Linked DNA regions of Coturnix japonica. The protein of the gene in region 1 interacts with the protein of each later gene in a biochemical or structural test. Links are inferred from orthologs where the notes say so. Each region holds a gene or a part of one and is shown in the gene's direction. Other genes may lie near its edges.

Region 1 (3,783 bases):
GAAGTGGCAGGGGCAGGAGAGCATTACCAAGCAGGTAAAGTATTCGTATCTGATGTGAAACCTTTGATGAAGAAAACTCTATTCTTTGGGGAGTGACCCGATGGATAGTTGTGCTAGTATCACACGGTCCTCGTTTTCTGAAGTCTTTGTCTGCTGAGGCTTTGAAGATCCCCCACCAACAAACATCAGTTAGGAGATGAAGATAAAACTAATAAGCTGGTGGCACTAAAAGAATACAGGCCCTTTGAATTCCTGTTTTTTTCACCTCTTCTGGTTAGTAAAATTATATTTGCTCTGAAAATTCAGTACACATCGCTTCTTTAAACACACCCCCAAACATGCACGTGTAACAGTTTGTATTAAATACTCTTACATGCTGATCTTGTGCTCAGTTGTTGGTCTGTCACATTCTTAAGTGCTATAAAGCTAGTAATAATTTTTATTTTTTATACTGTATGAAATGCCTAGGTGAGAATGGTTCGTGTCAGGATTTAATTGTATGTAGTTTAGGAAAAAATAATCCATCTCAGAAGGTACATCAATTTGTTCCCTTCTTTCTGTGTGTCATTAGAATTAAAATGACAAGAGGAATACCACAGGAAAAAGCTCAGGATGATAGGTAGTATGCTTTATGCTTTTAATTATTCTTCTTTCTCTCTCCCTCAGAAGAAAATACTTACGACGAATATGAAAATGAACTTGGAATTACAGCCATAGCCCTTTACGATTATCAGGCTGGTAAGCACAGCTCTTGTTCATCTTGTGAAAACTCCTATTTTGGAAAGCTGAGTCAAGATCTTTTTCTTTTCCTACCCTTTTGTAGTCTCTTGTATCAGTGTATGAAGATATGAAGCATTAAGAACGTTTAATAAGAAAGAGGACATTTATTGATTTAACAGCAACATTGAGATGTTTCTGAAAACTGCCATCCACCGCTTCTAGAAATTACAGAGATTTAAAAAAAAATCTTTTTGACTAAGTGTTAACACTCATATTATAGCCTTGGTGTGAGTAGTTTAGATTTCCTCTAGTTAAATCTGGGGAGAGCTCAAGAAAGAGTGGTTTTCAGGGTGTTACGCAGCAATTGCTGCTCTGAGTTAGAAGTGTACCTAAAGTGAAGCAGGCGGGAGTCATCAGTGGCGTCAGCACTGTGGATGAGAAAGCAGCTGTCTGTGCTGCTTGTCTTTGCCCGGTTCCCTGTTTCACAGCCCTGATGGGAGGCAGGGTGTTGGGTGTTCTTGGCATCTTTAGTGGGCTGTAAATGAGAGTATAGTGAGACCGGTCCTGTGCGAACACTGAGCTTTCTTCTGCTCTCTCTCCAGCGGGTGATGATGAGATCTCCTTTGATCCAGATGACATCATCACGAACATAGAGATGATAGATGATGGCTGGTGGAGGGGCGTCTGCAAAGGCCGATACGGGTTGTTCCCAGCGAATTATGTGGAGCTGAGACAATAGAGACTGTTGTCTGCTGGTTATGCCTTAATTCCTCGGTCAATAAATCTGACTTAGTACACTACAAATCATGATGCTTTTCTGAGAATGGAGGGGTATATACATATTGCTTTTATATTTAATACTTTGCCGATTGCTTTTTAAAATGTTTATGCCACAGAAGTTGCTAATATATTGTAACTACTCTGTTCTTCACTAAGGCTCTTAAAATGATTTTCATGCATTTGGAAACATTCTCTGCCAAATTAGCGATTGTCATAAAAAGCCTTTCCGAGGACAATTAGCTGTCTGTCATAATATTGCATGTTTTACTCATAAGTGAGCAGATTTACCTAGTGTTTAAGTCTAGTTAGTCTTCCACTAAGTGTTTTCAGCTCGGAAAATCATGGCCGTGCAGGTTAGTTGCATTTCCACTAAGAAAATGGGGCGGGCAGGACTGGGAAGGGGCATAATTTCTTCCTTTTGTTTTCTCGATAGTATGTGGAAAAGTGAAGAGGATGCTTGAAAGTTACAGCTAATGGCAGTTAATTGAGTACTCTCCGATATTTACTGAATATTAATGTTATGAAGGAAACAGTCCGGTTACTTTTTCCTTCTCTTTTAAAGTGAAGTTTCTAGTATATTGCATTGTTTGTTTGTTTTTTCTCTCATCTCGCTCCCTCTCTTCATGTTATTTCAGAGGAGGACAGCAAAACACTCTAACGCTGACTGTCCTCAATTTATTTGCTTTCTGTTTCAATTCCTCTCCCCACTTTCACGGGAAAACTTGAAAGAATTACTGTACGAGTGTTGAGTTACTGAGTGAAATTCCTACTTGCCGAAAGGGAAACCAGCATCCAAATCTGTGTGACTGCATACAAGGGATAGTCTCATTTCTTTAAAGGGGAGGAAAAAAGGCAAGACGGAATCGCGGTCATTTTGTGTGCAGTGCATCCTTTGTTCATACAATGAAACGGGCGGGCCTGCTGTGCAGTAATAACATTTTACGTAACCGTATTTGAGTTGAAGATTATTAATATAAATAATTTGTTTTGAAACCCTTATAAATAATCTCAGTTTTTAAACCACGCAAGAGACGTCTGTACTTTTTGTATGCTCAGCAGAAACTGCCGGTAGCGTTTGACTAAACAATGGGTTTAAACCTGTTCTTTGCCAAAACTAAAACCAAACTTTCTGTCATTCTAGAAAGCTGATTTCTCTGCAGGTTTAGGGTCCCTACCAAAGATAGTAAACTGCATCTAGTAGTGCACATGTTACATGTATGTACCGTCTGTTTCCACCTTCTGATCAAGTGAGAAAAGCAGAACTGATACGGTAGCTAAGAAAGAACGCAAAGAGGTTTTTTAAACTGTAACTTTGGACCAATGGAATATAGGAGACCTGTATAAAATGGTAAAATATATAATGTATCTTGGAAGGCATTGTGTTGAACCGATTCTTGGATGGTTGGGACAATCCTTAATGAATGTCATGTGTGCATCATGATTATATATATATTTTTCCTTTCCATGGTCTCATTTCTCTGTTGTATTTGCATTACTAGGGTTGGGTTTTATATGCAATTTATTTTATCCAATTTTGCATAGAACACCACATAGGGGAGATATGATTTTTGTAAATTAAATCTTCAATAAACTTTTTGAACCATTTGCATGTAATATTTTTGTATTTTTAAGTCCCTTTGTTAGTCCGTTACAGGTAGTTCATCCCATCATCGATCTGCATCTGGGACCATCGGATGCTTCCTATGGAGAGCTGCTGCGTGGTGCTTGGTACTGTAGTGAAGGGCAGCTATGTTCTTCTAGGCTGCCACTGCCTTCCGGGTAATTCTTTTCCTCAGAAACACAGTAGCTTTGTCATTTATTTTTATTCCATAAAACCATGACACTCACAGCAGGGAGATGGGGGTTTTGTAGTCAGTAGAGAGATGAGGGTTTGCCTGCTTGGCTCTTCCAACCCGTCTCAAAGTATATGTAGGTAGCAACATTATGACTGCACTGTTACAACTATGAGATGTGATGCATTCAAGGCCTTGAGGCTTTAAGATCACTCTTTCTCATTGATTGTCATTGCCCAAGCTAGCTGAAATACTTCTGGTGAAACACACCTCAGACTGGCTGAATGAAAATCATTCAGATCATCAGAGCGGCTGGCGCAGCCCTCTTTCCCTTTAATTGATGTGAGGAGAAAACGAGCCCTGTTTATTTCTGCTAATGGCTGAGCCTTGAACCTATTTGTGCCTTAATGTGATGTGGTTGTCGCTTCTCATCCTGCTCAGGTTTTGAGTAATGGTAGGCAGCGGTGCACTGACTATTCATTGCTTATTC
Region 2 (3,824 bases), on another chromosome or scaffold:
GCCTACCTTCAGCACCATTAAAGCAAGATTTATGTTCCTGCTTGTGTTTTCGTGCTCCATTCTGATTATTTTTCTCACCTCTGACTTTCACTACCAGCACTGACCAGCTGTGTGTTGAGCTCTCTCAGGGTGAAGCCTGTGGGATGTGAAAGCTTTTAGAATGTTGTGGCAAGAGCTGATGACTTACTTGAAACTACATGAAGATAACATACATCTGGACAGCAAAGCTGTCCCCGAGTCTGCAAGCCCTGAAAAATATTTGGCAAGAAGCTGTTTTTTGCTTGCGGCAAACTGGCCTTGCAACATCTTCTGCACAACTTCAGCTTCTTCTTACCTACCCCTCTGCTTTTTGGCTCCCACTTCCTCTCTCCTCTCTTGTAGGCTGCTACAGAAGTTGTGATATGATGCAGTTTTCCTCCCGATGAGCTCAAAATAATGCTTTTTGTTATATTTGTTCAGTTTTTTGCAACACTTCATTTTCACTGGCTGCACAGCCCTTCTGTTGCTGCACAGAAGGGAGGAAAAGGGAGAAGATTGTGGCCTCCCAGTGCACTGGGGTGCATTAGCCTCATGTGCTACATGTTTCCAAATCCTGTAGCTCTGTGTGACCCCAGGCTCTGAGCTTGGCTTGGTTCTGGTCAAGCAACACTTGGGTGAAGGTGAGGATTGAAATAATTCTGCCTTTGAGAGAGCTTTCACATGACAACTTCTAAGTAATAGGAGCGGATATTAATGCTTGGTTCTTATTTCTGCAAATTTCCCACTGGTATTTTAAGACTTGGAAAAAATACAGTAGGTTTTGCCGGCACTGTGACCCGGTCAGTCTGGGAGCTGATGTAAAAGAGGAGAGAAAAGAACATCTGTGTTCTTGCGGTATCTCATCGCTGATCCATCTTCCCTGAGTCCCATTTTTAGCCTTAGCAGTATTTCTCCTTTTTTTTTTTTCTTTTTTTTTTTTCTCTGTTCTTCATAATGAGCAATTTTTATGGAAGGATAAATTACCAACATGCTGTCTCTTAAATTTTGCCAGTTATTCCTTGAAGCAAAAGAGTTTTATAGTACTAATTGTTAGTGTATTGGCTTTTCTGTGCTTGTGCCAGAACAAAAGGATGAATATAATTGCAGTATTTTCCTATTTCACAATATTAAGGTTCCTGTTTTTCTCAGTGCTGGATGTATAATCTAAAATATCATTTGTTCTCTTTGTTAAAGGTATTGCTATCAAAGAATCAGCAAAAGTGGTTGATCAAGCACAACGAAGGGTTTTGAAAGGCGTTGATGATTTAGACTTCTTTATTGGAGATGAAGCAATAGAAAAACCAACTTACGCAACCAAGGTACTGAGAGACACTAAGATTTTCCAATACTGTTAGAAATCATCAAGCATACAGTACAAAGCTTGTAAATGCTTTTTGAACTGTAATCTTATTTTCTTAGAAACTATTGTAAACGTTTGATATTAAGTCAGTTTTGCTGGCCTTCAGGAGTCTCTGGGAATTGGAAGATGGGGGTGGGGAGGACACAATATTTCATATCAGCGTGTTTCTTTTGAAATGAAGGGTGGCCGAGAGAGTGTTGGGAGGAGATAGAAGATGCTTTCTTGCTCCTTGAGATGTTCTATCAGCCACATCAGAATCAGGATACTGGTCTAAGGGGATCCTAAGGTTTATCTTCATATTACTTTTCCCGGTACCACCATTTTGTTGCACTGAGAAACACTTAATATGTTGTTTTCTCCGTGATCAGAATTTCAAATAGATGTCAGGTTGGGATAGAGACAACCTAATGCAAGGTTTTTAGATGTTGATAAAGTTCCTGTATTGCAATTGAAAATATTGTTTTTAAGTTTGTTTCCAGTTACATTTTGGTATTGTTCTGTAACAGTGGCCCATTCGCCATGGTATAGTTGAAGACTGGGACCTGATGGAAAGGTTTATGGAGCAAGTAATCTTTAAGTATTTAAGGGCAGAACCCGAGGACCATTATTTTCTTTTGGTAGGTAAAATTATGTCGTGTCTGTGAAATAGTATATGACAAGAACTTTGTGCTGATTTGTGGAATAATTCTCAAATATGGATGTGCTTACCTTGAAAAATAAAGGAAATATAAATTACATGAAACTTCCCTGGCGCTTGGCTTATCATATTCACATTTCTTCAGCTTTCTGAAAGTGCTGAAATTGAGTCTGAACTGCAAGCTTTCTTTCCTTCCTTAATTTTCACACCAATGCACCTCTGTCTTCTCCCTCTTTTATTCTTTATCCACTGAACTCAGCAGTGGTGCTTGCATTTGGGTACCTCTATGTTTTGACTTCATGTCATTGCAATAATTTTGTTTTTTATAGTACTGCCACCTGGTTAGTGTATCTAGGGTGACATTTTGTCTCCTTTCTTTATTAAGTTCAGAAGGATTGATTGTGATATGTGGACATGTCAGGCCTGAACTGAGGTCAGATGTTCTGAAGTCTCTCCTGTTCCTTAGCATTTCATTTAAAGCCATTGAAATAACAGTATTTTTAAGTTTGAATTTTAGATCACAAGTTTGGAATTGAGTGCGTTGGTTGTTCTTGTTATATAAACTAATACAACTGCACCCTTTGATCTAATTGCTCAGGGCCCTTCATCCAAGCTTTGAGTATCTCCAGGCATTGAGGTGCCATAACATGTGGGCTCGTCTCCCACTACTTCACCAACCCTCACACTGCCTTTTTTTCCCTCCTAATAAGTAATTAGAGTTTCCCATGTTGCTGTTGGTTTCCATGACCTCTTGATGTACCACCTTTATGAAGAGTCTGACTCCCTCCTGTCTTTACCCTTACATGGTTGATGCAACAAAAGATAGATGCTTTTGCTCAGATATTCTCTGGCACTATTCAAAATGCTCTTTTAGAGGAGAGGGTTGCTTGTTTGCATGGCACTCATACAAAATTTATAGTTATATCATTGTGTGCTGTTAAGCACATTGTTGCTCTGTTAAACACATTTCTACAACGGCTGATATAAACTTTAGTTTTATAATCATTGCCTCTTGAAGAAAAGTAGCTTTTTTCTTCAGTGAATTTCTGATTTTCTTTAGTATCTGTACTTTGCATACTTAAACCTAAACATGTAAAATGCAAGGTCTTTGATTCTTTGTGAAAACATGCGTTATAATAAGCTGACCAAGGGATAGATAGGACCACTGATGTAAATTCTTAAACAGTAATTACTCTGTTTCTCATTTCTGCTCTTTCTGTTTGCATTGTGCTTTTGCAGTGTGACTTGCAGTAATTCTGTTCGTGCCATGGGTGTTCCTTGATTTTCTTCATTACAACATTTGCCTTTAATAACCCCCTTTGCACTCGATTATTTTTACATGCTGTTCTTGAATGAGTCATCTTTCAAAATTTAGCTCTAGGTGATTTTTGAGAGAAGTTTAAATGTTTGATCTGAATGCATGTCAAATGTTTTTCTTTATTTCATAGACTGAACCTCCATTAAATACTCCAGAAAATAGAGAATATACTGCTGAAATCATGTTTGAGTCTTTCAATGTTCCAGGACTATATATTGCTGTTCAGGTAAGAGCAGAGCTATTTCAAATATTAAATGACTCTTGAAGCATTCTTCTGTGCTTCTGGTCACCATTTCCATTGCTGGATGTTTATCTAGGTATGTTACTCAGCTCTAGGTATGGAGTTAGGACTCTAGACACAATATAAAAATCTTGCTGCACCTTAAACAAAACACACCACAATTGTGGTTGTAGGCTAAAAGCTGAGTCCTGTTCAAGATGAAGCAGCAAAAAGAGTCTTTATATTGGATATGCTTAAAAAGCATCAGAAG

Evidence for each region.
Region 2: the proteins of CTTN (region 1) and ACTR3 form a complex in vitro, tested with the Homo sapiens proteins (3 studies listed by BioGRID). The link is inferred for Coturnix japonica from reciprocal best matches to the Homo sapiens genes CTTN and ACTR3.

Annotation. Positions count from the first base shown.
Region 1 is NC_029520.1:6,901,083-6,904,865, reverse strand, and holds the end of CTTN (src substrate cortactin), read left to right. Parts: coding exon 1-34; intron 35-666; coding exon 667-738; intron 739-1,322; coding exon 1,323-1,459; 3' UTR 1,460-3,114; downstream 3,115-3,783.
Region 2 is NC_029522.1:26,867,307-26,871,130, reverse strand, and holds part of ACTR3 (actin-related protein 3), read left to right. Parts: intron 1-1,212; coding exon 1,213-1,337; intron 1,338-1,884; coding exon 1,885-1,995; intron 1,996-3,463; coding exon 3,464-3,559; intron 3,560-3,824. UniProt on the Homo sapiens protein: ATP-binding component of the Arp2/3 complex, a multiprotein complex that mediates actin polymerization upon stimulation by nucleation-promoting factor (NPF).